4 linked regions of the Saccharomyces cerevisiae S288C genome follow. The protein of the gene in region 1 interacts with the protein of each later gene in a biochemical or structural test. Each region holds a gene or a part of one and is shown in the gene's direction. Other genes may lie near its edges. The genes, in order: VAM7, VAM3, NYV1 and VTI1.

Evidence for each region.
Region 2: the proteins of VAM7 (region 1) and VAM3 form a complex in vitro, tested with the Saccharomyces cerevisiae proteins (13 studies listed by BioGRID).
Region 3: the proteins of VAM7 (region 1) and NYV1 form a complex in vitro, tested with the Saccharomyces cerevisiae proteins (9 studies listed by BioGRID).
Region 4: the proteins of VAM7 (region 1) and VTI1 form a complex in vitro, tested with the Saccharomyces cerevisiae proteins (8 studies listed by BioGRID).

What each region holds. Positions count from the first base shown.
Region 1 is NC_001139.9:87,827-94,004, forward strand, and holds VAM7 (Vam7p), read left to right. Parts: upstream 1-3,605; coding exon 3,606-4,556; downstream 4,557-6,178. Other genes in the region: CLG1 (Clg1p), read left to right, coding at 155-1,513; SKI complex subunit WD repeat protein SKI8, read right to left, coding at 2,228-3,421; NCS6 (Ncs6p), read left to right, coding at 4,686-5,765; Rab family GTPase YPT32, read left to right, coding at 5,966-6,178. UniProt on the Saccharomyces cerevisiae protein: Essential for proper morphogenesis of the vacuole. May exist as structural reinforcement on the surface of the vacuolar membrane and be required for maintenance against rupture by osmotic pressure.
Region 2 is NC_001147.6:517,403-523,486, forward strand, and holds VAM3 (SNAP receptor VAM3), read left to right. Parts: upstream 1-1,718; coding exon 1,719-2,570; downstream 2,571-6,084. Other genes in the region: PIN2 (Pin2p), read left to right, coding at 240-1,088; YOR105W (uncharacterized protein), read left to right, coding at 793-1,119; GTPase-activating protein RGS2, read left to right, coding at 3,951-4,880; 2-isopropylmalate synthase LEU9, read left to right, coding at 5,625-6,084. UniProt on the Saccharomyces cerevisiae protein: Required for vacuolar assembly. Provides the t-SNARE function in a late step of the vacuolar assembly. Required for homotypic vacuole membrane fusion, autophagy and fusion of biosynthetic transport vesicles with the vacuole.
Region 3 is NC_001144.5:324,639-330,750, reverse strand, and holds NYV1 (Nyv1p), read left to right. Parts: upstream 1-3,335; coding exon 3,336-3,351; intron 3,352-3,492; coding exon 3,493-4,238; downstream 4,239-6,112. Other genes in the region: IOC2 (Ioc2p), read left to right, coding at 1-1,074; GIS3 (Gis3p), read left to right, coding at 1,513-3,021; SUL2 (sulfate permease), read right to left, coding at 4,526-6,112. UniProt on the Saccharomyces cerevisiae protein: Vacuolar v-SNARE required for docking. Only involved in homotypic vacuole fusion.
Region 4 is NC_001145.3:656,609-662,615, reverse strand, and holds VTI1 (v-SNARE protein VTI1), read left to right. Parts: upstream 1-3,417; coding exon 3,418-4,071; downstream 4,072-6,007. Other genes in the region: CIK1 (Cik1p), read right to left, coding at 1,087-2,871; YMR196W (uncharacterized protein), read right to left, coding at 4,274-6,007. UniProt on the Saccharomyces cerevisiae protein: t-SNARE found in various SNARE complexes involved in multiple transport pathways. The composition of the t-SNARE complexes is specific for a limited number of v-SNAREs and therefore allows only the vesicles carrying the matching v-SNARE to fuse.

The sequences.
Region 1 (6,178 bases):
GAAGAGACTTCGTTTCACACATTTAAACCAGCTTTATTAGCGTTTAGCTTATACACTACAAGGAATTTTTTTTTTCTTTAACATTATTAAGACAGTTATTGAGTTAATTCGTCTTCAGCCCCCCTCCCCCCAACAAACCCCCCTTCATATAGAAATGGCTAATACTTTCAAGTATTATCCTGAAACGATGGGTAATTCTAGTGGTTATCCAATTAGTTTGCCTTTTCCGAAAGGTTCGGCTACTTCTGCTGTTAATGTTGCTAGGCAACTGCCTAAATATTTAGGTCATGTTCCCTCGCAATCAGTTCATACTCAGTTGCCATCCATGGCTTCTTTAGGTTACTTCAATCAGCCAAGTTCTACTTACTATGCTCCTCCTGCACCACTTCAACAGCACCAGCAACCACCTATCCTTCCCCCTCCGGGCCTAATGTACACTAGTAACAATAACAGCAACGTTATTCCTCCTCCTGTTCAAATGATTCGGGATGGACAACAACAACCACAACAATCTAACCAAGTAAATGGGGGCGTCAGTGAGAACTTGGACTACGATATTTCTATAATGTCAAAATTTATCATGGAAAATGCCTTTGTTGCCTTCAACGCGAACTATAGTACTGATGACCAGACCACTGATCTTTTTTTCAAGGGCATATCTTCTGTGTTGAATGCCACGAGATTGCCTTCAGCTACTATTTTTTTGGCTATAGATTATCTTTTCAAGTATATCAATAAATTATCTAATGGGATACATTCAATTGGTGGCAATTCGATCAATATCATTTATCAAAATACTATGATTGCGTTCATATTAGCAAACAAGTTCAACGATGACAAAACTTTCACCAATAACTCATGGTCACAGGCAACAGGAATACTGATAAATGTTATCAATGATTTCGAGAGACAATGGTTGAGAATATTTAACTGGGAATTGTATGATAGTGCTTTTCTTTATTTTGAGTTCGTCAAGAATTTTGAGATTTTCAAGCAAAATCAACTCAAACCTGCTGTAGCGGTTCCTACGTTATTATCTCCAATTGTCAACGTTGGTGATACGAGAAACGTAAATTTCAACTTGAAGCCTACTTCCACAAACAACCTATTATCTCCAGTTTCCAATTATGAAACCCCCATGCTGATGCCGCATAACATGTTTTCATCACCATCTTATCAGAGTAACTCAAGGTCTGAATTTTCTAGTATGAATGGTTATTATAACTATTACAACTATAATCAGCCAAGATTGAATTACTATCAACAATTCCCCAATATATATTCTTCACCAATTTCGGAAACTCAGTTTGATTACGACTTCTACAATTTCAGTAGTCAACAACAACAGCAACAACAAAAACAACACTCACTTTTACCTGCCGCTCCACAATTACCTCCCCCTCACGTCCATAATCAGTCTTACGGTCATCATCTTGGCTGGAAGTCAATGGATGACACAATAAATCATTCAAGATTTGAGCGAAACTACTTTCCGTATTCGGCAGTGTATTAGTGAAAACTTTTTTTTCCTTATTTTTTCTTTGATCCCATCGAATTACTTTCTCTTTTGCCCAGGATCATCTTTCTAATCTATCATTTTATTATTTTCTCTCATGAGAAAACAGAATTTCGAAACAGATATAATAAAAAAATTGAAAAATTTGAAAAAAAAAAATCTAGAAACATATTTTCCTAAAATGAAAATCGGAAGCTAACAAAATTTTTGAAAAACGAAATAAAGAAGAAAGATTATTATTATTACTTTTTTTATTAGTACTCCATATGGACCTCTTAGGTGAGTGATCTTATTAAAAAAAATAAAAAAAATAAAAAAATATGAAAAAAAAAGAAAATTAAAAACTAAACAAATTTTATGACAGGAATAAAAACTATAAAAAATGAAAACCAAAAAAAAAAAGCACTGGATTTTTAACATCTTGTCCTTTTCTTTCCCTTTATCATTTTTTCTCATTTACTTTGTTATTAATTTTTTTTTTCAAGTTCTCCACATATACATATGTAAGAATTGAGTCTATCTCTTTCTAATATTTAAGAAATACATAAAAAAACCAATTTTTTTTTTTTATTACTAGCAAATTTATTTTTGTGAAGTGAAATTCATACATTGGCTTATTAAAGGTATTAAATATTACTGAAATTTTATGAACCAAAAAGAATAATGGATGATTGTAAGGTTACATGCAATATATCAAGATATTACTAGAGATTATTTACCGCCAGCTTCTCTAAACCACCTGATGCTTCTATCTAAACAAACACAGCATAAACTTTCATTTAAATCAGCTCCCATACCAGATCTCCAACCTTTTTTCAAAAACTTCACGTCAAAGACACCAGGTTCAGCTAAAGAATCTCCATGTTCATCAACAGCTAAGATATCCTCTTCAATTTCAATATCATCACAATGCATATTCAATGTAGTGATTCTTTCCTTTGTTTTTACATCCCAAAATCTCAATTTACCATCCCATCCGGCACTGCATAATGTTTCACCAGAATCATTAAACGATAGACTCATGACCCAGCTAGAATGTGCAAATTCACCCAGACTTGCCTGCGAGCTATGGGTTGGTACGGATAAGGAGCCTATTCTTTCACCAAATTCAGTTTCATATAGAGTGATGCAACCAAATGAATTTGAATCGTGAGCAATGGCTAATAAGGATCCTTGAGGAGAAAATTTCACCGATCTGATGGAATTCGAATTATTAATCATAGAATGCTGAGATTCAAAATTGTACAACGGGCGTAATGTAGATAGTTCTGAAATTTGTACTGTTCCATTATTAAAACCTGTGGCAATTAGTCCTCGTTCAGAGATATCCACAGAAGTGGCAAATTGACTTGGAGTCATAGGCGATTCGACAGTGCCTTGTAATTCTAACGTGGGGCTCCAATTTAGTGTTAAAGAATTTGACTCATCTGCAAACGGGTGAAACTTCCAAATGTAAGTGGTCCCTTTGACGTCTGTAGCAACCAGCCTATGGGAAAGTAGTCTGTCATTTGAGGCACCCCATTTTAATGCCCAAAAGGAATGCTTTTTCATGTCTGAGTCTAGAAGATCCAATTTCTCGAATATAACTTTTTTAGTCTCATCTTCTCTAGTGATACGATAGAAGAGTAAATCGCCAGAAAATGAAGTGGTAGCAACAAGGCATAATTCAAATGCATCTCTCTCAATAGCTTGCAAGACATCGACATGGTGCAATCCGGACTTATGGACAAAGTGAGAATATGACTTATCTTTTGGATTTTCATTATCTAACAGCTTATTATCCCACACCTTTAAGTAACCGTCACCTGAACAACTTACCGTAAATGAATTGCAAGCAGAAACCGAGAAAATATCAGCGTCATGAGCTTTACCTGCATTTGCTGTGGCAATAAACACTTTGGACATTTTTCCAATACTTGATTAACCTCTTTTTCGTTTCTTGTCTTTATTTTAGATTTGTTTTAATATCGCCTAATTTTTCCTTCTTTACTTTATATTTTTTTTATTTTTCGCCTAAAGATTTGTATCAATTAATTAGCCAACAAAAACAAAAACAATAAAGTCATATAAGGGTTGATAATTGATATTGATGGCAGCTAATTCTGTAGGGAAAATGAGTGAAAAGTTAAGAATCAAGGTGGACGATGTTAAAATCAACCCCAAGTATGTTTTATACGGTGTTAGTACACCAAACAAGCGCCTTTACAAAAGGTATTCCGAGTTTTGGAAACTGAAGACACGATTGGAGAGAGATGTAGGAAGCACCATCCCATATGACTTCCCTGAAAAGCCCGGTGTATTGGACAGGAGGTGGCAAAGAAGATATGATGATCCGGAAATGATCGATGAAAGACGGATCGGACTAGAGAGGTTCCTCAATGAATTGTATAACGATCGTTTTGATTCTCGATGGAGAGACACAAAAATAGCGCAAGACTTCCTGCAGTTGTCAAAGCCAAATGTTTCTCAAGAAAAGTCACAGCAGCATCTAGAAACTGCTGACGAAGTGGGATGGGATGAGATGATAAGAGATATTAAATTGGATTTAGATAAGGAGAGTGATGGCACACCCAGCGTGCGTGGAGCACTAAGGGCACGTACGAAGCTCCACAAGTTACGAGAGCGACTAGAACAGGATGTGCAAAAGAAGTCTCTTCCAAGCACGGAAGTGACTCGTCGCGCCGCTCTATTGAGGTCCTTGCTCAAGGAATGCGATGACATTGGTACAGCAAACATAGCTCAGGACCGTGGACGACTTCTGGGGGTTGCCACCAGTGACAACTCTTCAACCACGGAAGTTCAAGGAAGAACGAATAACGATTTGCAACAGGGGCAGATGCAAATGGTGCGCGATCAAGAACAAGAGTTGGTTGCACTGCACCGAATTATCCAGGCACAACGTGGATTGGCCTTAGAGATGAACGAGGAGCTGCAAACACAGAATGAGCTACTTACAGCACTTGAAGATGACGTCGATAACACTGGTAGGAGGTTACAGATAGCCAACAAGAAGGCTAGACATTTTAACAACAGTGCTTGAATTAATGAGTTACTATCCGGGTTACAAATCCTGAGAGTATATTTGTACTAAAAAAAAAAATTGTAAATCTAGTAATTGAAAAATTTTGGCGATGAGACGATATGGTAAGAGTAAAGCAAAGGAACCGTCATGTCGTTTACTGCTCCTTCAGATCCCGTCAATAAACCGACAAAAGTGAAGGTATCACAGTTGTGTGAACTATGTCATTCAAGAAAGGCTCTCATTAGAAGACCCAAAAACCTGTCTAAACTTTGCAAACAATGCTTCTGCCTCGTGTTCGAGACGGAGATCCATAACACTATTGTAGCAAATAACTTGTTTCAGAGGGGAGAAAAAGTAGCCGTGGGGGCCTCTGGTGGTAAAGACTCCACGGTGTTAGCGCATATGCTGAAGCTTCTGAATGACCGTTACGATTACGGCATTGAGATTGTACTGTTGAGTATTGACGAAGGAATCATCGGATACAGAGATGATTCCTTGGCCACGGTGAAAAGGAATCAGCAGCAGTATGGCCTTCCTTTGGAGATTTTTTCCTTTAAGGACCTCTATGATTGGACAATGGATGAGATTGTATCCGTTGCTGGTATAAGGAACAGTTGCACGTATTGTGGTGTTTTTAGAAGACAATCATTGGACCGTGGTGCTGCAAAGCTGGGCATATCTCACGTTGTCACCGGCCACAATGCAGACGATATGGCAGAGACAGTACTAATGAATATCCTACGTGGTGACGTAGCAAGATTGGAAAAATCGACTGCGATTATCACACAAAGTAGCGGCTCTCCCATCAAGAGATCAAAACCATTTAAATATTCTTACCAAAAGGAAATTGTCCTGTATGCGCACTACATGAAGCTGGATTATTTTTCCACTGAGTGTACCTATGCCCCAGAAGCGTTTAGGGGCACTGCGAGAGAATACATGAAGAATCTGGAAGCAGTGAGGCCCAGTTGCATTATAGACATCATCCAAAGTGGCGAAAATTTGGCATTAAAGGCTAAAAAATCTAACGCTGGAAAGAGAGTCGTCAAATTTGTTGACGGCAATAGATGCGCTAGATGTGGATATCTGTCGTCAAATAACATTTGCAAGGCGTGCATGTTGCTGGAAGGACTGGAGAAAAGTAGAGCCCAAGTGGCAATCGAGAATGACACTTCTGCCGATGGTGCAGCCTTGAAGCTGAGAGCTCTTGAGAAACTCAGCTTTTGACATATATATAGCTCGCAGTAGAAGAATGCAGCGTAACATAATATAATATAATATAGTACGGCGCGCCCTCCATTAGAACGCGCAACACAATAAAGACAAATAAAAGAATCAGCTATAAAGCTGGCCATTGCATGGTTCGCGCTGGAAAGAGAGGAAAAGCGTGGTGATAAAGAGCGAACCAAGCATATTGTTTTCCAAGAATGAGCAACGAAGATTACGGATACGACTACGATTATTTATTTAAGATAGTTCTTATCGGCGACTCCGGTGTGGGTAAATCTAATCTGTTGTCGAGATTTACAACCGATGAATTCAACATTGAATCCAAATCCACGATTGGCGTGGAATTCGCTACAAGAACCATTGAAGTTGAAAACAAGAAGATAAAAGCACAGATTTGGGACACGGCAGGT
Region 2 (6,084 bases), on another chromosome or scaffold:
TCAAGATCTACTGGAACCGCAACTTCTACTCTAGAACTGGATAAAAGCCTAGAAGAACTTCAAAATTAAAGGGGCGCAAGAAAGTTTCAAATATATTACATATTTGCTACTTAGATCAAGAATAACCACCCCCGGTCGTGACTTTTTAGATTTTTTTTATCTTGTTTATTTTTAGCAAAATAACCGTTTCAAGAAAATACTAGAAATATAATCAAAGACTCCCAAGCGTATACACAGTAATGAACGTTTGCAAGTTGAAAGAAATAGTACCACTATTTCCGAGATCGTCCTTTACAGATGGTGTAGTAAGTACAGGAAAAAGTTTCCGAAGCTGGGACACCTGCATGGACAATAAAGCATGTAAAATTATTGCGATTGTTGGTATTGTTTTGGCCTGTATTCTTGTGATTTGGTTGATTGGGGGCTTACTGACATGTTTCAGGCAAGGGGTAACAGGAATAGGTCAGTTCATTTGTTGGTGTTGTCGTTGTTCTAATGACAGAAATGGAAACAATACAATGCCGGTAAATGAGGGTTTTAGTAGAGTTAATATGGGCGTGGCTCCTCCTTCTACTGTGATTTATCAGCCTATTCAACAACCTGAAAGTGCGTATTATAGAAACGATGCGAAGAATGATACATTTTACGACGAAGTCAAAACTCCCAGTAATGAGGTGTATGAATTAGAGGAAGATTTCGATTTGGAAAAACAAAAAGAGAAAACAAGGAAAAAACAACAGAAGGAAAGAAATAAAGAAGGACGCAGCCCTAGTAGGGTGGCCCCTCTAGTGTATGAAGAAGAAAATTTCGAAGGTAGCAGCCCTCAGCCGCAATATGATGCTAGAAATTCGTTTATCCAAAATGCGGCCAATACTGGTAGCAACAACGCTCATGTTGCTTCACAATCTCCAATTTTTGACATCAGCGATTATGGCGAGAACTATTATTACGATAATAATAACATCAATAATAACCTCCAGGGAAACAGTTACAATACTCCCTCCTCTAATCATAGAAGTCCATATCCAACCGAAAATTATCAATCATATCAGGGATATAAACCAAACCAAAGCGATAGATATTACTAATGAGGTAAATATATATTCCCCCTTCTTTTGAATAATCAGTCAGACATTTTAAGATCAAGAGGATTCATTGGTAGATTTTGCAAGAACCAATTAGGAATTTCTTCAGGAATAACTGTGAGCTTGCGTTTACGGAAAGGAAAGTAAAAAAAAATCTTCCAACGAGTTTTTCCTTGTACCGGTTGCTAAAAAGGTGCCTTCTAACAGGTAACACCAGAAACCGCAACTTTTAAAATGCAAATAAGGGCAGTCAATGGTGAACTTCCTCTTGGTCAGTTAGTATGTACAATAAATTAGGTTGTTTTCCTCAGGATAAAAGTGATCTATTTGTAACATATAGTTTACCTAGGTGCTGACGAGGACACAGGAAGAGCAAAACTAAGATCATACAAGTCAATACTTATTATAATCAAATGATAATATTCGTTCAGCCTCATATTCGAGTTTCACATCACAACTTTTTTTTTCGCGAGATGCGCAGTAAAAACTCTATATACATTTTTGTAGTGAATTTTGATTTTGATGTAAAGAAAGCAGCCAGGAGATTAAAGGAAGGAAAATAGAACAATAAAAAACCACGGGATCAGCATTAACAAATTGGCCAACTAATATCCACTGCAGAAAGTTGAGATTATGTCCTTTTTCGACATCGAAGCACAATCTTCAAAGGGTAACTCCCAGCAAGAACCACAATTCTCAACAAATCAAAAAACGAAGGAATTAAGCAATTTAATTGAGACATTCGCTGAACAATCCCGCGTGCTGGAAAAGGAATGCACCAAAATTGGTTCCAAACGGGACTCCAAAGAACTAAGATACAAAATTGAAACAGAGTTAATACCGAACTGCACCAGTGTAAGGGATAAAATTGAGAGCAACATCCTCATTCACCAAAATGGAAAGTTGTCTGCTGATTTCAAGAACCTGAAAACGAAGTATCAATCCCTACAACAATCATACAATCAAAGGAAGAGTCTGTTCCCTCTAAAAACGCCTATTTCACCAGGAACATCTAAGGAAAGAAAAGACATCCATCCGCGAACTGAAGCCGTGCGACAAGATCCAGAGTCTAGTTATATTTCTATAAAAGTAAACGAGCAGAGTCCTTTACTGCATAACGAAGGACAACACCAATTACAGCTGCAAGAAGAACAAGAACAACAACAGCAAGGATTGTCCCAAGAAGAACTAGATTTTCAAACAATCATTCACCAGGAAAGATCCCAACAGATAGGACGCATTCATACGGCGGTACAAGAAGTCAATGCTATTTTCCATCAGCTCGGTTCATTAGTGAAAGAACAGGGAGAACAAGTAACCACCATAGACGAGAATATCTCGCATTTACATGATAACATGCAGAATGCAAACAAACAATTAACCAGAGCAGACCAGCATCAGAGGGACCGTAACAAATGCGGTAAGGTCACCCTAATCATTATAATAGTTGTGTGCATGGTGGTATTGCTTGCTGTATTAAGTTAGTAATCTCCTTAAACGCGCATTGAGCACAGACTTTCTGGTAGACCCAATCTTATCTATTTACGAAAACAAGAGTGTATAAGAGTGTATAAGTTATTTTTTGCATTTATTCTTTTGTGGTAGGGGGGTTTCTTAGCCGCTCTTTTTGACTCAAAATTTCCTTTGATGTCTAGTGATAGTGCACTTCCCATGTGCGCAACCTGTGTTTTTTGTACTCCGTAGTTTAAATGCAAGGGCTCGATATGCCCTTTTTCCTTTTTCTACTTTGTACGATCTACACTGACCTTTTTTCAGTAGTCCGTAAATCCCCACGAATTTCTACTAGCGACTGCCAATAAAAAAAGGATTGTGCTACTGTATGTAAAAAGTAAGAACCCTGTTATTTTCCGTTAACTGTCATTTGCCTTACTGTTGCTTAACGGCCGCCAACCGTTATCAAGAAACAAAACATTGTATGCGTTGTCTTCTAAATGAACCTTGTGGGCCCTGATAAACATAAGAACGTGTCTGGCTCGGAAGTATTTATCTTATTTCAATTTTCGCTTTTGCAGAACATCCTTGCCTGTCACTAAGATAAGGACAGAGCGTGGATTAATAAAAATGGCAGAATTTCTCGGCAAAAAAAGAAATCATGCATAATTACCTCGATGTGTACGTTATTGCGGGCACGATCCTGTCGCTACGGCCTGATAGTAGCGGCTATTCTGCTGGCGAAAATTTTCAGCAGTTTGAAATCTTACTGTGGCGTCCCGGTCCAGCCGAGATGACATCTAACTAAGAAATGTCCGCTGCGGCACACCCACGCCGTTGCAGCTAAAGTCGCGCACCAAGCACAGACCTGCTGGAGAATGAGGAACAAGGTTGCGTTAAATGCTTCGGGAAGAACTGCCGAACCGAACCGCTAGAAAAGTGCGCAGGTACCCCGATCGAAGCGGCTCGGCGCTCATTTTAGCACAATCAGAAAAAGGAAATTGAAAGAAGAAAAAAAAAACATAATCATTAACAATTCTTTTCTTGAGATATACGTATATATGACGTCGTCATGTAGTATCTCTTTCGGGATACCCTTTGTAAACGTCCCTTTGTGGAGATGAAAAAAAAACTTGCTGAATAAAGATAGTTAAGGCGCTAGTAATCAAATTAATAACATATTATACCACATCACATCTATACCATTTCCGTTGCACATTGCTTGAACCAGTTGCCAAAATTGACTAAACGGATTTTTACAAAGTCAACGGTGATCACTAAAAGCAAACAACTCAAGCGACGAGGCAAGGAAAGAGAAGAAAAAAAAAATATTACATTGGCTATATAAATATCAAAACATCTTAGGTAAGGCACCTTTGATACATAAAACGAAGAAAATTCAGCACATGCCAGATGGCGAGTGTACCAAGTCTATGCGACATACTGATACCGCTAGAAAAGAATAGTCGCAGCGACGGCGATGCTGAAAGTAGCAATACAGTGCTGATTCAACTGCGAAAAGGGCATCACGAACGGATGCGTTCTCCTTACACAATACAAAAGTTTTACAAATTTCTAAAAAGAGCTCATTGTGAGGAAAATTTAGAATTTTTCGAAAAAGCTCATCAGTTCCTCCAGCTTAAGCAAAACAGGAGTATTAGCGAGGAGAAGCTCTTGGAAGTTTGGAACAAGTCGTTGTACATAAAATACATTGCCGTGGACTCCCCCAAAGAATGCAACTTTTCACAGGATACTAGGGAGATATTTGAGAAGTGCTTTGCTAACAATGAAGTACCTGCCGACGTAGACGTCCTGTGTGCCATTAGCCATGTGATGGGCCTATTAATGGACGGGTATCACCGATTTGTGAGTTCTGTTAATGAGAAAAAGTACTCCGCCACATATGCCCACAATGACTCTGCTACGGAACAAGATCTCAAAAACGAGTCTACAACTTCTTTTTCGTCATTAGGCGTGGAGGATATTTCTGAAGATAGAAATTCGTATCTTAAGAAGCCTGATATCAATGGTTTGTCAACTATCATTCAAGAAACGTCTGCAAACACGACCAATGAGTCGCAATGCAGCGATCGCACTTCTCGGCCAAGCGAGTCCTCTTCCTCACTCAACACTACCAGCTCGACCTACAAGAATACCAGCACTAGAAATCTGCAAAAACCGCAAAATACAGGAATTCTCAACTCGGGGAAAGGTTTATTGCAAAAACTTAACTTTGTTAAAAAACGGAAATCTTTCAAACAGCCTTCAGGCGTCATTTGTAGCCATTATAACAGCAATGTTCAAAACCGTTTGAAAGGACAAAACAGTCATCAACAAAGATAGCCTCTTCATCATCTGTGGAGACACAAATATCTTCATCCTCATCGCCATTACCCAATAAAGCGATCGGTAAAAATGAAAAAAGCGTTGAAAACGGCTTTAAAAAGCTAAATTTGCATGATATCAGTTAATCAAGATTAGAACTTTGATTAAGTAGAACAACGATAGAAAATCCGCTTTTCTGGCTAGTTCCCTCGTTTCATATTAATTCATTTCACACAATTTACTTCATTTCATCACGCTCATATTGTTTGTAACTTTAGTTTTTATTTAATTTTACGTACATGACACTGCATATAATTATTTCACAGGCATTTAAAATAAGAGCATTGGGCACAGTCTTCTTTTATATGTTGTCATATTCAAACACTAAACATTTATCTGTATAGTAATTAATGTTAGCTCTTCCTTCTGCATGGCGCTTGTTATATACTTCATTCGTCTATTTTGGTGCCGCGCGCCATCATGGTCCGGTAACGGTCGTAGTGAATGACTCATATTTTTCCATCTCTTTCGGCCTTGCCAAAAAATGAAAAAAAAAAAAAAAAAAAAAAAAAAAATTAAAAACGATGTCCAGAATCACAACTACAACATAGTTTTGCCTCTTACTGGCTTGATTGGAAGTTAGCTGTTAAATTTCAATAATGCCTTACTTTACTCCACGAAATCACAATCCTTGTTTTCGGCTTATAAGGGTCTTCTCCTTAGGATAATACTATCGGCACATTATCATTTAGCCGCGTAGCCATGGTAAAACATTCGTTCATAGCGCTAGCTGAGCATGCTAGTAAACTAAGAAGGTCTATCCCACCCGTCAAACTGACTTATAAAAATATGCTACGGGACCCATCGGTAAAATATAGGGCGTTTGCTCCACCAAAAATGGTCAAGAGGATTTGGCCTGACAAAACTATTCAAAAGGCTCCACGTTGGCTGTCTACTGACTTGAGGGACGGTAATCAATCTTTACCGGACCCAATGTCTGTGGCTCAAAAGAAAGAATATTTCCACAAGTTGATCAACATCGGTTTCAAAGAAATCGAAGTGTCTTTCCCCTCTGCATCTCAAACAGATTTCGACTTCACCAGGTATGCTGTAGAAAACGCTCCAGATGATGTTGGTATTCAATGTCTTGTCCAATCTAGAGAACACTTGATTAAAAGAACCGTGGAAGCATTGACTGGTGCTAAAAGGGCTACCATACATA
Region 3 (6,112 bases), on another chromosome or scaffold:
CCGTTTTTTGAAACGTCTTTGGGCAGGGAGGAGGACAATCCCTTAAATGAAATCGATATCGGAGTTCTTGATCACGGCCCTAACTTTCAATCTAGTATAATCCCGGTGGAACCACCAATTCCTGGAACTGTTGGGCCACTACAGACGGGAGACGTCCCTGAATTGCCTAGTGACTTCTGCATAACAAAGGAAGAGCTAGATGAGCTTGCCAACTACGGGATCTTTACTCCGCAGCAAGAGCCCGACAACCAAGATTCTGTTTTCCAATGTCCGGGCGAACCAGAGCTGGCGCCCATGATTATCACCGAAGACACGGAGACTGACCTCTTCAATAACCGCCCATTGATATGCTGTGATCATTGTTACAGGTGGCAGCATTGGGAATGCCAACCTCCAAAAATTATAGAGCTTATATCTTCAACCACAAAATCCCCACAGCACACGCTGTCGCAACGTGATTTTGGCGTCATCATAATGGGAAATTCGCACGGCAATAGAAGGTCTTCTCGCAGACCCCAATCCACACTTGAACCCAGCACCAAGTCTTCAAGACCTACTGATAAACGCAAACCGCTGTCTGAATGCTCCACTTTTATCTGCGCTTGGTGCATCAGGGACTTGGAACTTGAGCTGCGCAACATTTTTGTGCCTGAATTGAAAATAATAAGGGCCAAACAAAGAAAACAACAGGAAGACCGTGAAAGAAGAAAAAAAATGAAGGAAGAAAAGAAAAGGCTCGAAGAGCTTGCAAAGAAAAGGGAACTAACCGAGTCTGTCTCACCTCCAGTGTTTAATAATGCATTTGCAAACATGTCAAGTAGCACAACGCCTAGTATCGCCGCTTACGAAAAAACAAATCCAGCCATCAATCCAGCACCTAATGTAAATGCCGCTCACCCCATAATTACATACTCGCAGCAAACTGGCAGCAAAACTGTACCACAAGCACCACAGGCACCACAAACATCACAAGCATCAATCCAACCACAGCAGCAACAGCAACAGCAACAGCAACAGCAACCGCTGCACCCTAAAGAACAGAACTTTCACTTCCAGTTCCCACCAACCAACTAGCCTCATATAGAAATACACAGCAAAAGTATATAGTAAAATATATATCAACTGGTTCTTCATGAAACTTTCTTTTCCAGCCGCACATCCGTAGGGCTTCTGTCGCTTCATGTCGGGTAATAATGATGCTTAGGGCTTAGCGCCAAAATAATTAGGGTGTATGAGGCGGCTCCTGACTAGGGTCAGACGGCATTTTTTCGTCTTTTTTTATCCGGTTTTTCGTCAGTGGCCATCCTTAATGCGCGGCAAAGGTGCTGAAGGCGCCTTATTGTGTTAAAAAAGCCAATGAAATAAAAGTGGGATGGTGAGAACGCCAAACGAGTGAAACAGAGAATGGAAACTCGCTTCTTCACAAGTATTTGATGGCTAGTTTTCTCAATTACTTGTTTCTTTGGATAGACACGAACATACAGAACACTTTCAACAAGACATAATTATAGAATGCTGCTGGACGTGAACACAAATCACACACTAATGCACGATGCTCATGTGCATGAACATTGCCTCATCAAAAGCATACGTGATGATGGCGCATTGCACTCATGGAGCGACTCATCAAAGGTATTTTATCCCAAGTCATTTTACGCTACCGCTACTAATAAGAAGAATAACAAGTTAGCCAGCGCCAGCATGAACAAGACCGCCACAAGTAATAGGACGGTGAGCGATGAGATTTATTTCCACTCCACTAAGCCGCAGTTCGATGGTCAAGGAAGCGCTGAACGTACTAGAACACTAACCAAGAGGAATAGCTTCAAGAGGACTAGAATACTGAAGGCTCGAGACGATTCCGAACTGCTGAACGAAAATCGCTCATCTTTGATGACCCCGTCCTTAAGCTCGGTCATGTCGCAAGTTAGGAAAACAAATTCCGCCAAGACGTTATCGGGCGAATGCCCCATACATGAGGGCCACTTAACACAGAGCATAAAGAGGAAGTTCTCCGAGGAAGCTCAAAGCGACTGTTCTTCATTGAGCTCCTCTAAACTTCATCCCTTGACAGATGATATTGCTGACGCTGTCGATTTGCAGACCCCCGCGATTGGCGATGAGGTACTGGCTGAGCCGGTCGTGCCCAAAATGAAAATAATAAACATAAATGATCTCGATTTGTTCGACGACTGGGAGGTTAAGGATTTAGTCGATATCTTTCCTCCCGTATACGAACGGCGTCCGCGATCGTCCTCTGCCCTTTCACTGGTTTCTGCGTCGTCCGATGCCAAACTTCGTCCGACCTCTGTGGACTTCCAAATCATCGACAAGAAAGGCGGCAAGACTTCAAGAAGGAAGAGTAGGAGCAAATCGACTACAGAAAACATGATTTACGAAAATGACCTGGTAGAATTAGAACAATGGCCATCTGCATCACCATCGCCCGAGACCGACGGTTCGATTGCATCTAGCGAGCTCTTGCCCAATAAAAGAATAAGACAAAAAAGTTTGAATACCAATTTCCTAAAGTTATACTCTATTGAAACATCATGTAAAAGGAAGAGTATTTTACCCGAAGTCGAAGTAGATGACCATCTGTTGAAGCAGCTAACGTATTCCGAAATTCGGTCTTTGGAAATCAAAAAGGAGCCAAATGTCTCTACGAACGATATTAAGCTTGCCCTAATTACTAGGAAAAAATTATGGTCTGACATGGTCCATGAAACAAGAAATGATCTTTTTGGCGATTCTACCCCCTGGAATTTGCACTTTGTTGCAACGACAAGCAATACGGAACCTTCGCAAGGCCGTGAATCCGCAAGCGAACATGCAACGGCGGATTTGAAAAGTTCTTTGGTCCGCGTACACTCAGACGTCAAGCCATGGTTCAACAATGGCGGCACAATGCTCAAACCATGCGGAAAACTAAATTTAGGCAAAGTCACCAATAAGACTTCCGCACCTACGAGAGAGATTCAATATGTCGTAAAGGGCTGGTGTGACAGCAGGTTTCTCTGATAGACCCCCCACCTTTTCATCGCCTTCACCCCACCCATTTGCATTATCTAAAAATAGTAAACTATATATTCTACCACCACATTCATTATATATAATATTTAAAACAACGCATTACCACCAAGCGCCCGGGTAATATTCGCCTCAAACGATCGAAGAAAGAAAAAATGAGGTCACAATAATGATGAAAAAAAGCCCCTCTATGAATTTTCTAGCACTTGACTAAGTTGGAGCAACAGCTATTAAATTTGAAGAACAGAGTGAAAAGCGACAATTTATTAAGCTGTTAGAGCATTGGACTTTTATATTTTTACCAAATGAAACGCTTTAATGGTATGTATAAATATTTCTACACAATTAACAAATGTTTAAAAAAGGGATTATGCGAATGCTCATCCCCCCATGCCATAATTTTACTATGTTACATTCAGTAGACTAACGTTCCATTTTGCTTGATTTTGCATATGGTCTTAGTAAGTTATGTGGAAGTTATAAAAAATGGTGAAACAATATCTAGTTGTTTCCAGCCGTTCCAGAAAAACGAAAACTATGGTACAATAACTTCAGCAAACGAGCAGATAACGCCGGTCATTTTCCATAATTTGATCATGGATATGGTATTACCCAAAGTAGTTCCGATCAAGGGGAACAAAGTTACCAAGATGTCAATGAATCTCATCGACGGATTCGATTGTTTCTACTCCACGGATGACCATGACCCCAAAACTGTGTACGTTTGCTTCACATTAGTAGATATGCCCAAGATTTTGCCCATCAGGATACTAAGTGGGCTGCAGGAATACGAGTCCAACGCTACAAACGAACTTTTAAGTTCGCATGTAGGTCAAATACTAGACTCTTTCCATGAAGAGCTGGTCGAATACCGTAACCAAACTTTAAATAGTTCTGGAAATGGCCAATCTAGTAATGGGAATGGTCAGAACACTATAAGTGACATCGGGGATGCCACCGAAGACCAAATAAAGGACGTCATCCAGATAATGAACGATAACATCGACAAGTTCTTGGAGAGACAAGAAAGAGTTTCTTTATTGGTGGATAAAACTTCCCAACTAAATAGCAGCAGTAATAAATTTAGGCGCAAAGCGGTCAATATAAAAGAAATAATGTGGTGGCAGAAGGTCAAAAATATTACGTTATTAACTTTCACTATTATACTATTTGTAAGTGCTGCTTTCATGTTTTTCTATCTGTGGTAAGTAAATAAAAAAAAAGGGGAGCTGTCCCACGACAATAACATTAATAACGGTTGTATTTCTTTTGTTCCTGAGAGGAAGAGAAAAATAAAATAAAAATAAGGTAAATATTTATAGGTATGTATATGCTCACGATGGCACCATCCTACCTATTATTTCTTATTATATAAACAGTGTCTATCTCATTATGATATTAAATGTATACTTTTAAGGGGGAAAACTTTTTGGTTTAGGAATATAGAAAAAAAGAGATGATATAAATGTTTGCATGTCCATTGTAAATGCATTGGCTAGATATCCCATTTAGCAAAATCTGGGATATCGATATGGAAGAAAGGTAGATTTGTTCCTGAAGCGGTATAAACGCTATATTTTTCAGGATTTTCTTCGCCTTGAGGTACTCTGGCGACGTGATAACTTGTATGACCGGCAACAATGGATTCATCACTGTATTCTTCGTTCAGAGTACCAAATCCTCTGCTAATTAAACCTCTCTTCACCCATGGTGAAATGATACCCACAAAGTGGAATTCAACTTGCCTATCTGCATATTGATTTATGGCCTTTCTCAAATCAACCAATGATTGAAGAGCCGTAGCGTCTGTCTGTGCCACTTGTGAGAAGTCTAAGCATAGTATTTTCAGCAATGGCCTGTCATCTCTTTCAACATCGACTGAGGTGCTGGGCGCGTTTTCCATGGATTCAGGGTCGTTCTCCCTTTTCTTCCAGAATTTCAAATTCTTTAAGAAAGCAGGTGCTTCCCATGGACCAGGATCATTCCATGGACGGTCAGATTTTTTTCTGTGGCGAATTAATTGACCACGTCTGGTAACTTTTTTAACTTCTTCGGTTATGATGTTGTAGTGTCTGGAACAGTTGAGATAGGTGTAGCTCTCTGATAGCCTATAAACAAGAACACCGTCTGGTGGGGGGAGAATCTGAACGTCCGGGTTCAATTCTCTTGTGTATTTATGATCAAACGGTATCCATTTAGTATGGTATTTTATCCTTGGCTGGCTAATCGAAGAAGATGGAGAATCAAAGCCCTTTGTTTGAACGTTTGTTTCTATTTTCTTGGAGGAATTTGTGACGTATTTGGTGGAACTTTCCTTGTCATCCTCACCACCATCTTCTAAAGTGGAAATACCATTGTTATTTTCAGACACGTAGCTAACCACATCGGAGTCCGGTCTGACGTAAGCATCAGTAACTTCAGCGACTTCCACACGACCCAAGAATTTTCCCGCTGGGAAAGCCACTTTTAAAATGAGCATTGCACATGACCAGCACATGGCAAAATAAATACCATCTTCAATAGAGGCAAATACCGTTATTAGGACGGTGACAATGAAACAGATGAAGTCCAATGGATTCATCTTCCAGAAATTCCAGGTAGTTTGATAAGAGGCCAAAAGATCAGATACAGCGTGAATGATAACTGCAGATAAGGTAGCCTTTGGAATGTAAAAGAATGCGCCGGTCAAACAATATAATGCTAAAAGAACACATGAACCCGAAAACAAACCAGATAACGGCGTACGGACATTACATTTAGCCTTCAAAGCAGACCTTGAAAAGGAACCAGTCGCTGGGTAAGCATTGAAGAAAGTACCTAAAAGGTTCGAGACACCAATAGCAATCAATTCTTGGTCGGGGACGACTTTATAGTCGTTGATTCTACCAAAAGACTTCGAAATAGCGATATGCTCCAACAATAACACAATAATGGATGCAGGCAAATTTGGACCAAGCTTAGACATTAATCCTGGTGGAACATGGAAAACCCCGACTTCTTTCAAACCGGATGGAACTGAGCCTAGGATGCTGATGGGCCTCTCCGATTTAGATTTGCCTCTTGTGATTGCCCAACCAATACA
Region 4 (6,007 bases), on another chromosome or scaffold:
CTAACGAGCAGTGGAGTGGTGGTAGTGCTATTTTATTTAATTGCTATTATTGTTATCGTCGTTAAAATGTATTGTCAGCAAAATTACACTAATTTCTTCTATCCTGGGGAGATGGGATGAATAAATTGACAATAACCAGGAAATAAATTAAAGCGAACGAAGAACTCCTTGGCCAATTTGCTCTTAAGTGTGCATTCAACTAAGAAACTATTGAAGATAAGCATTACCAATTCCAAAATATATTCTTATATAAAAAGAGATACTAAGAAAATATCGAGAGATTAATTGCTGCACTCGCACCGGTACCACTTGGCGCAGGAAAACTGCGGTTTCCACAGGGGACCCACGCTGCCTTTACTCCATTCTCAATCTTGCCTTCTGCAGTATCTTTTTTTTTAATTTTCGAGTCTTCGTCACTTTCGAGTTAGTCTCCCTCCCAGCCTCGACCTGGCACCATTCAGCTCAATCCAGCAAAATCGCCAAAAATGCGTCTCCGATGCTTTCAAGGTTGGAAACTAACTAACGCGGTGCGAGATTCCCTCGAAGAAGTAAAATCGCGAATTCTTCCTTGAACGCGTCTCTTGCAGGCTGAACAAAGAAGTCGCTAGTGGATCGTCACAGAATGAACACGCCCACGAGCGGGATCTGGCTCGAGTTGTCATGAATACTGAAAGTATCAGGCGCGGGGTTGTAGTAGGTAAAGAATTTCTCCAAGAGGTTGTAGGAATGGACTTGTTTACCCCTTTACGCGCGGTGTTTTCGTGGCTTTACCGCATTGGGGTATGTCCCAGAAGAGAGTGTGCGCTATTCGATTTCCTATCAGTGAAGTGTTGCGAACAAGGGAATGCTGTCGAATTAGGAAAACAAAAGTTTATTCATGCAAATTTTGTGGCACGCTACCCTAAGTTCTCGATGATGTTTGGCTGCGTTTAAGTGAGTAATTTACATCCGCCTGTTAGTCCCGTAACATTCTCTTTTATTTTGCTAGGATAATTAGGTTGATGCCACGCACGACAATGTAGCTACGTAAGTTTTTTATGTAAGGGAACGAGACGAAGTGATTGTAGCGCACAAGATCTGGCCTTCTTAATCTAGCTGAGGTAATGTTATTGTTCTTTTCAGCTTTCCCGCTAAGGCTAGAGCCTTCTCGATGTTTTCACCAGCGTTAATCTTGAAGACAAAGCACTGCTTTGTTTTAGTGAGAATATGCGAAAGGACTGAGGGAGCATCATCAAGCTCTCTATTCAGCTGTACCGTGGACATACTACCGATATATATATTCATTGAATGGGACTCTTCATCTTTTCCCAACTTGGTATCTAAAGTTAAAATGTTCATGCATTCTTCATCTTGTGACAGATCTCTAATTTCTGTTGGGTTATCTAATCCAACGTCACTGTGTTTAATACTTCCGTCAAGATGCAAAATGTTCAATGTCATCTTATAATTCTCACCGTACTGCTCAATTAACTGTTTTAGCAAAGTCTTTTTCATTGGTGCTGTGGGTTGCTGCGAAACCACTATAATGCTGCAGTTAATTAACTTGCTGATGTATTTTTCCAGGAACGGAATGCATTCGTTATATAAGCGTTTGTGATCCTTATGGATTTCTTCGAGAACTACTCTATCAAATACTTGTACCCGTTTTTCTCCACTATTCTCGCAAATGCACCGATCCACATAGTTGATATGGAATTCATCAGGCATTTGTCGTTCATTGGCATACGCAAAGCATCGGGTGTATCCTTTGATTTCTTCAATTGAAGTGGCCAGATTTTGTCGTGTGTATAATTCCTGTTGAACCTTTTCTAGTTCATTAACGTACTTCTTCTTCCAATTGTTTGCTTCTCCTTCGACTTGCTTCTTCTCCTCCTGCACTTGCGTCAATGCTTGTGATGTAGAAGCAAGCTTCTTTTTGAGAGGAACAACGGCAAGTTCCATGCTATGGAAGTTCACTTCTGCCTCTCCAATCCTTTTTTCAAAATCGTTAAACTCATCTCTACACGTCTTAATATTTTCTTTCAGTTCACCATGGGTGTCTTGTAGGTCTTTTAAAACTTTCGAAAGTCTTTCTTGCTCCCCATCTAATTCAATTCTAGCATCGTTCTTAACTTTCTTGAATATCTCGAATTTCTTGTCCAATTCTTTTTTGTAGTTTTTACACTCGTTCTCATTTTCATTCTGTAGAATGAATAGTTTCCTATTGACCTCCTCGAATTCTGTTTTAAGCTGTCGCATTTCGTCAGTTAACCTTTCGTCAGGTTTCAAATTTTCTACTTCCATTAATTTATACGTCCACTCCCTTTTGGCATTCGATAGCTCTTCCTCTAAATCGTTTTCGAACTCTTGTACTTTTACTGCATGCATAGACACTATATTTTTTGATGATAGCTCAACATTCTTTCTTTGAAGATCACATTGATTATCCTTCAAGTCCATCTCCGTTGATAGTCCATCAATCTCATTTTGTAGCTCCCTGCACGCTTTGACTTTTGCATCTAATTCTAATGTTATTGCAGGTAGTTCCCTGGCATGAATACGAACAGATTCCTTTTCAATTTCAGAAATAGCATTCAGTAGTGAATCTATGTCTTTTCTAACCTTACGTTCATTGTTCTTAACCCTTTCAATAATCTTGGGGTCCCCCCCAAAGGTTAGTTTCTTAGTATACGTAGCGGAGGTGTCATCAGTGTAGCAGCGCCGTATACCAGATCCAGAGCTGTGCAATATATTTAGCTTGTTGTTATTAGGAGTTAGTATCATATCCATTTCTCTTTTCTGAACCTTCTGTCGTTTTGTCTTTGGAAAGTCTCGAGTGACGTTGTTTGGATCACTATGAAAGGAAAGTTTAGGAATTTTGGAGTTATTCATCCTAATAATAAAGCTTATGTCAACGAGTTTCAAATGCCAAAACAAATATTAAAATAGTGAATAGCTCTTATATATACACGGTCCAACCCTATGGCACAAAATTCACTTATTTAGGCGCTTAATTATAATGTCGTAGTTGTGTTTCAAAGTTGCTTCAGCCAAACGGAAAAGCCGCCTAAATGTGTCGATCAGTGAATGAGCTCAATAACGTGTGGATATCAAAAAATAATACAGTAAAGCCTTATTCTCGGACGATATGCTCAATGGTCAACGACTGACTAGTTTTATTTTGATACGAGCTACGACAGTGGTATCTTTCATATACTAGAATCATATTAGAGAGTAAATAAGAACAAAAATGGTAAACAAACAAATATCACTATGGACGATATTACTGATCACATGACTGTCTAATTTTCAATGAAAGTTAGGAGTGGAGTAGTCGTGCTATATAGGGCAATTACTATTCTTGGAAAAGTGTAAAGCTTTACATTAAGTTGTATAAAACGAATCAACCGCACTCTTTACATTGCTGCATGGCTTACTATGAGTTCCCTATTAATATCATACGAATCTGACTTCAAAACAACCTTAGAACAAGCCAAAGCGAGCTTAGCAGAGGCCCCCTCACAACCGTTATCACAGAGAAATACTACACTGAAGCACGTAGAACAGCAACAAGATGAGTTGTTTGACCTGCTAGATCAGATGGATGTAGAAGTTAATAACAGCATAGGCGATGCCTCAGAACGTGCTACGTACAAGGCGAAGTTAAGAGAATGGAAGAAGACTATACAGAGCGATATCAAACGACCACTGCAATCCTTAGTAGACTCAGGCGATCGTGATAGACTTTTTGGAGATCTTAACGCATCTAATATTGACGATGACCAAAGGCAACAGTTGTTGAGCAACCATGCAATCTTACAGAAATCGGGAGATAGACTAAAAGATGCCAGTAGAATAGCAAATGAAACTGAAGGAATAGGGTCACAAATAATGATGGATTTAAGGTCACAGAGAGAAACTTTGGAAAATGCAAGACAGACCTTGTTTCAAGCGGATTCATATGTGGATAAAAGTATAAAGACACTAAAAACAATGACTAGAAGGCTAGTTGCTAATAAATTCATAAGCTATGCCATTATCGCAGTCCTTATATTATTGATTTTGCTAGTTTTGTTCTCAAAGTTTAAATAAGGTGGGAAAACAAATTCAATAAAAAACCTCTAGAATCTAAAGAACATGTCAAGGAACTATAGAGTTACCTTCACTAGTAATATCAACGCTACCTTACTGATAAAAAACTACTGCAATTAAATATTCTATAGATCAAAATATAGAGGTATATCGTTGGAAATATTTTTCAAACGTACAGATATTGAAGGTTCACCGCAGTTAATCAAGACACATCCTTATTCAACGGACTCATTGGGTCCATTGGGTCTATATCCTCATCTTTAGCCTTGTCAGTTACTTTCATATTTTTCACCTTATCTTTTAGCTTGCCTATAAGCTTGGTTTCAAAGTTGTGACGATCTTCAGGTACCACAGTTTCGTGAATACCTTCCTCTTCATTCATTTCCTCCATCAAATGTCTAGCCTTGTCACTTGAAATGCTGCTTTGTGGTGTCAACCCAGAATGGGTGCCCCCTATCCTATGATGGCGCTTTTCTTCTTCGGTTAAGTCCAAAATGGTGGCAGTGTAGTTTACCAAAGACTTTGCACTCTTACGTCTTGCCATTCTCTTCATTTTGGGACCTTGCTCAGAGCTCTCTGTTGAAGCGGTCGTTGCCACAGATGATCTTGGCGTACGAGGTAGTCTTACACAGGATATACCTACATCACTTATCCATTTGGCCACAAGAGCAGTCCAACCACATTGGTGTGAAGCGCCAAGCCCTCTTCCAGTATCACCGTCAAAGTATTCAAAAAATGGCACATAATCCCTGAAATATGGATCAGAAGACAGAAACTTAGAGTGATCACCATAATGAATGGCGCGCTCCCCGTTTTCGTCTGGAACAAATAAGTGAATCATACGATATCCAAGTTCTTCGGCAACTTCAGCAAGATTCAAATAATCTCCTGAACCTACGGGACACTCTACTTTGAAGTCGGAACCGTAGTACAGGTAAAACCTTTGTAATGCTTCCATTATTAAAAAGCTGGTAGGAAACCAAATGGGCCCTCTCCAGTTAGAATTACCGCCGAACATACCCGAGTCTGATTCGCCCGGCAAATATTTGACCATATATTCGACACCATTTACATTCATTTCGAATGGGTGCTTCTCATGATATTTGGAAAGAGATCTAATACCATATGGTGACAAAAACTCAGTTTCATCCAGCAAACGTGACAGTATGGCTGTTAATCTTTCCTTAGTAACTAGGGATAAAAGTAGTCTTTCTCCCACTCCTTTTTTTGACATGGACGCAATGTTTCTATCAAAGATTTCTGGACGGTTGTTCACAAACCAATCAACCCTCTTCTTGAAACCGCGGAATTGTTTTATGATACTAGGCTCTAAAGTCATAGAAGCATATAGTGGGATCAATCCCACGAGAGATCTTATTGGTAGTTGCACCTTGTGGTCACCCCAAGAGATGGCATCGTAATAAAATTTGTCTGCTTCATTCCATAGGTTTTGTTTGATAACTTCTTTACATTTCTCTCCCGTAATATCAGTAGCGTATTCAAAGGACATAGAGTCACTGATTAAGATAAAATGTTCAAAAAATTTAGAGGCAATATCTTCATAAACCGGGTTTTCTTTGGCGAGCTCTAATGCAATATTTAGCATTTGAAGGCTGAAAAAGGCCATCCAACCTGTAGAATCAGCCTGTTCAAGCGTACCGCCAGTGGGTAGTGGTTCTGATCTGTTGAAAACGCCAATATTATCAAGACCCAAAAATCCGCCCTCAAAAACATTTTTACCTTCAGTATCCTTTCTGTTGACCCACCATGTAAAATTTAACAAAAGCTTCTGGAAAACTCGTTCTAAAAATGTACGATCTTCACGGTTGTACATGTTTCTTTCGATCTTGAAAACACGATACACAGCCCATGCATGGACTGGTGGATTTACGTCATTGAAGTTCCATTCGTATGCCGGAATTTGACCGTTAGGATG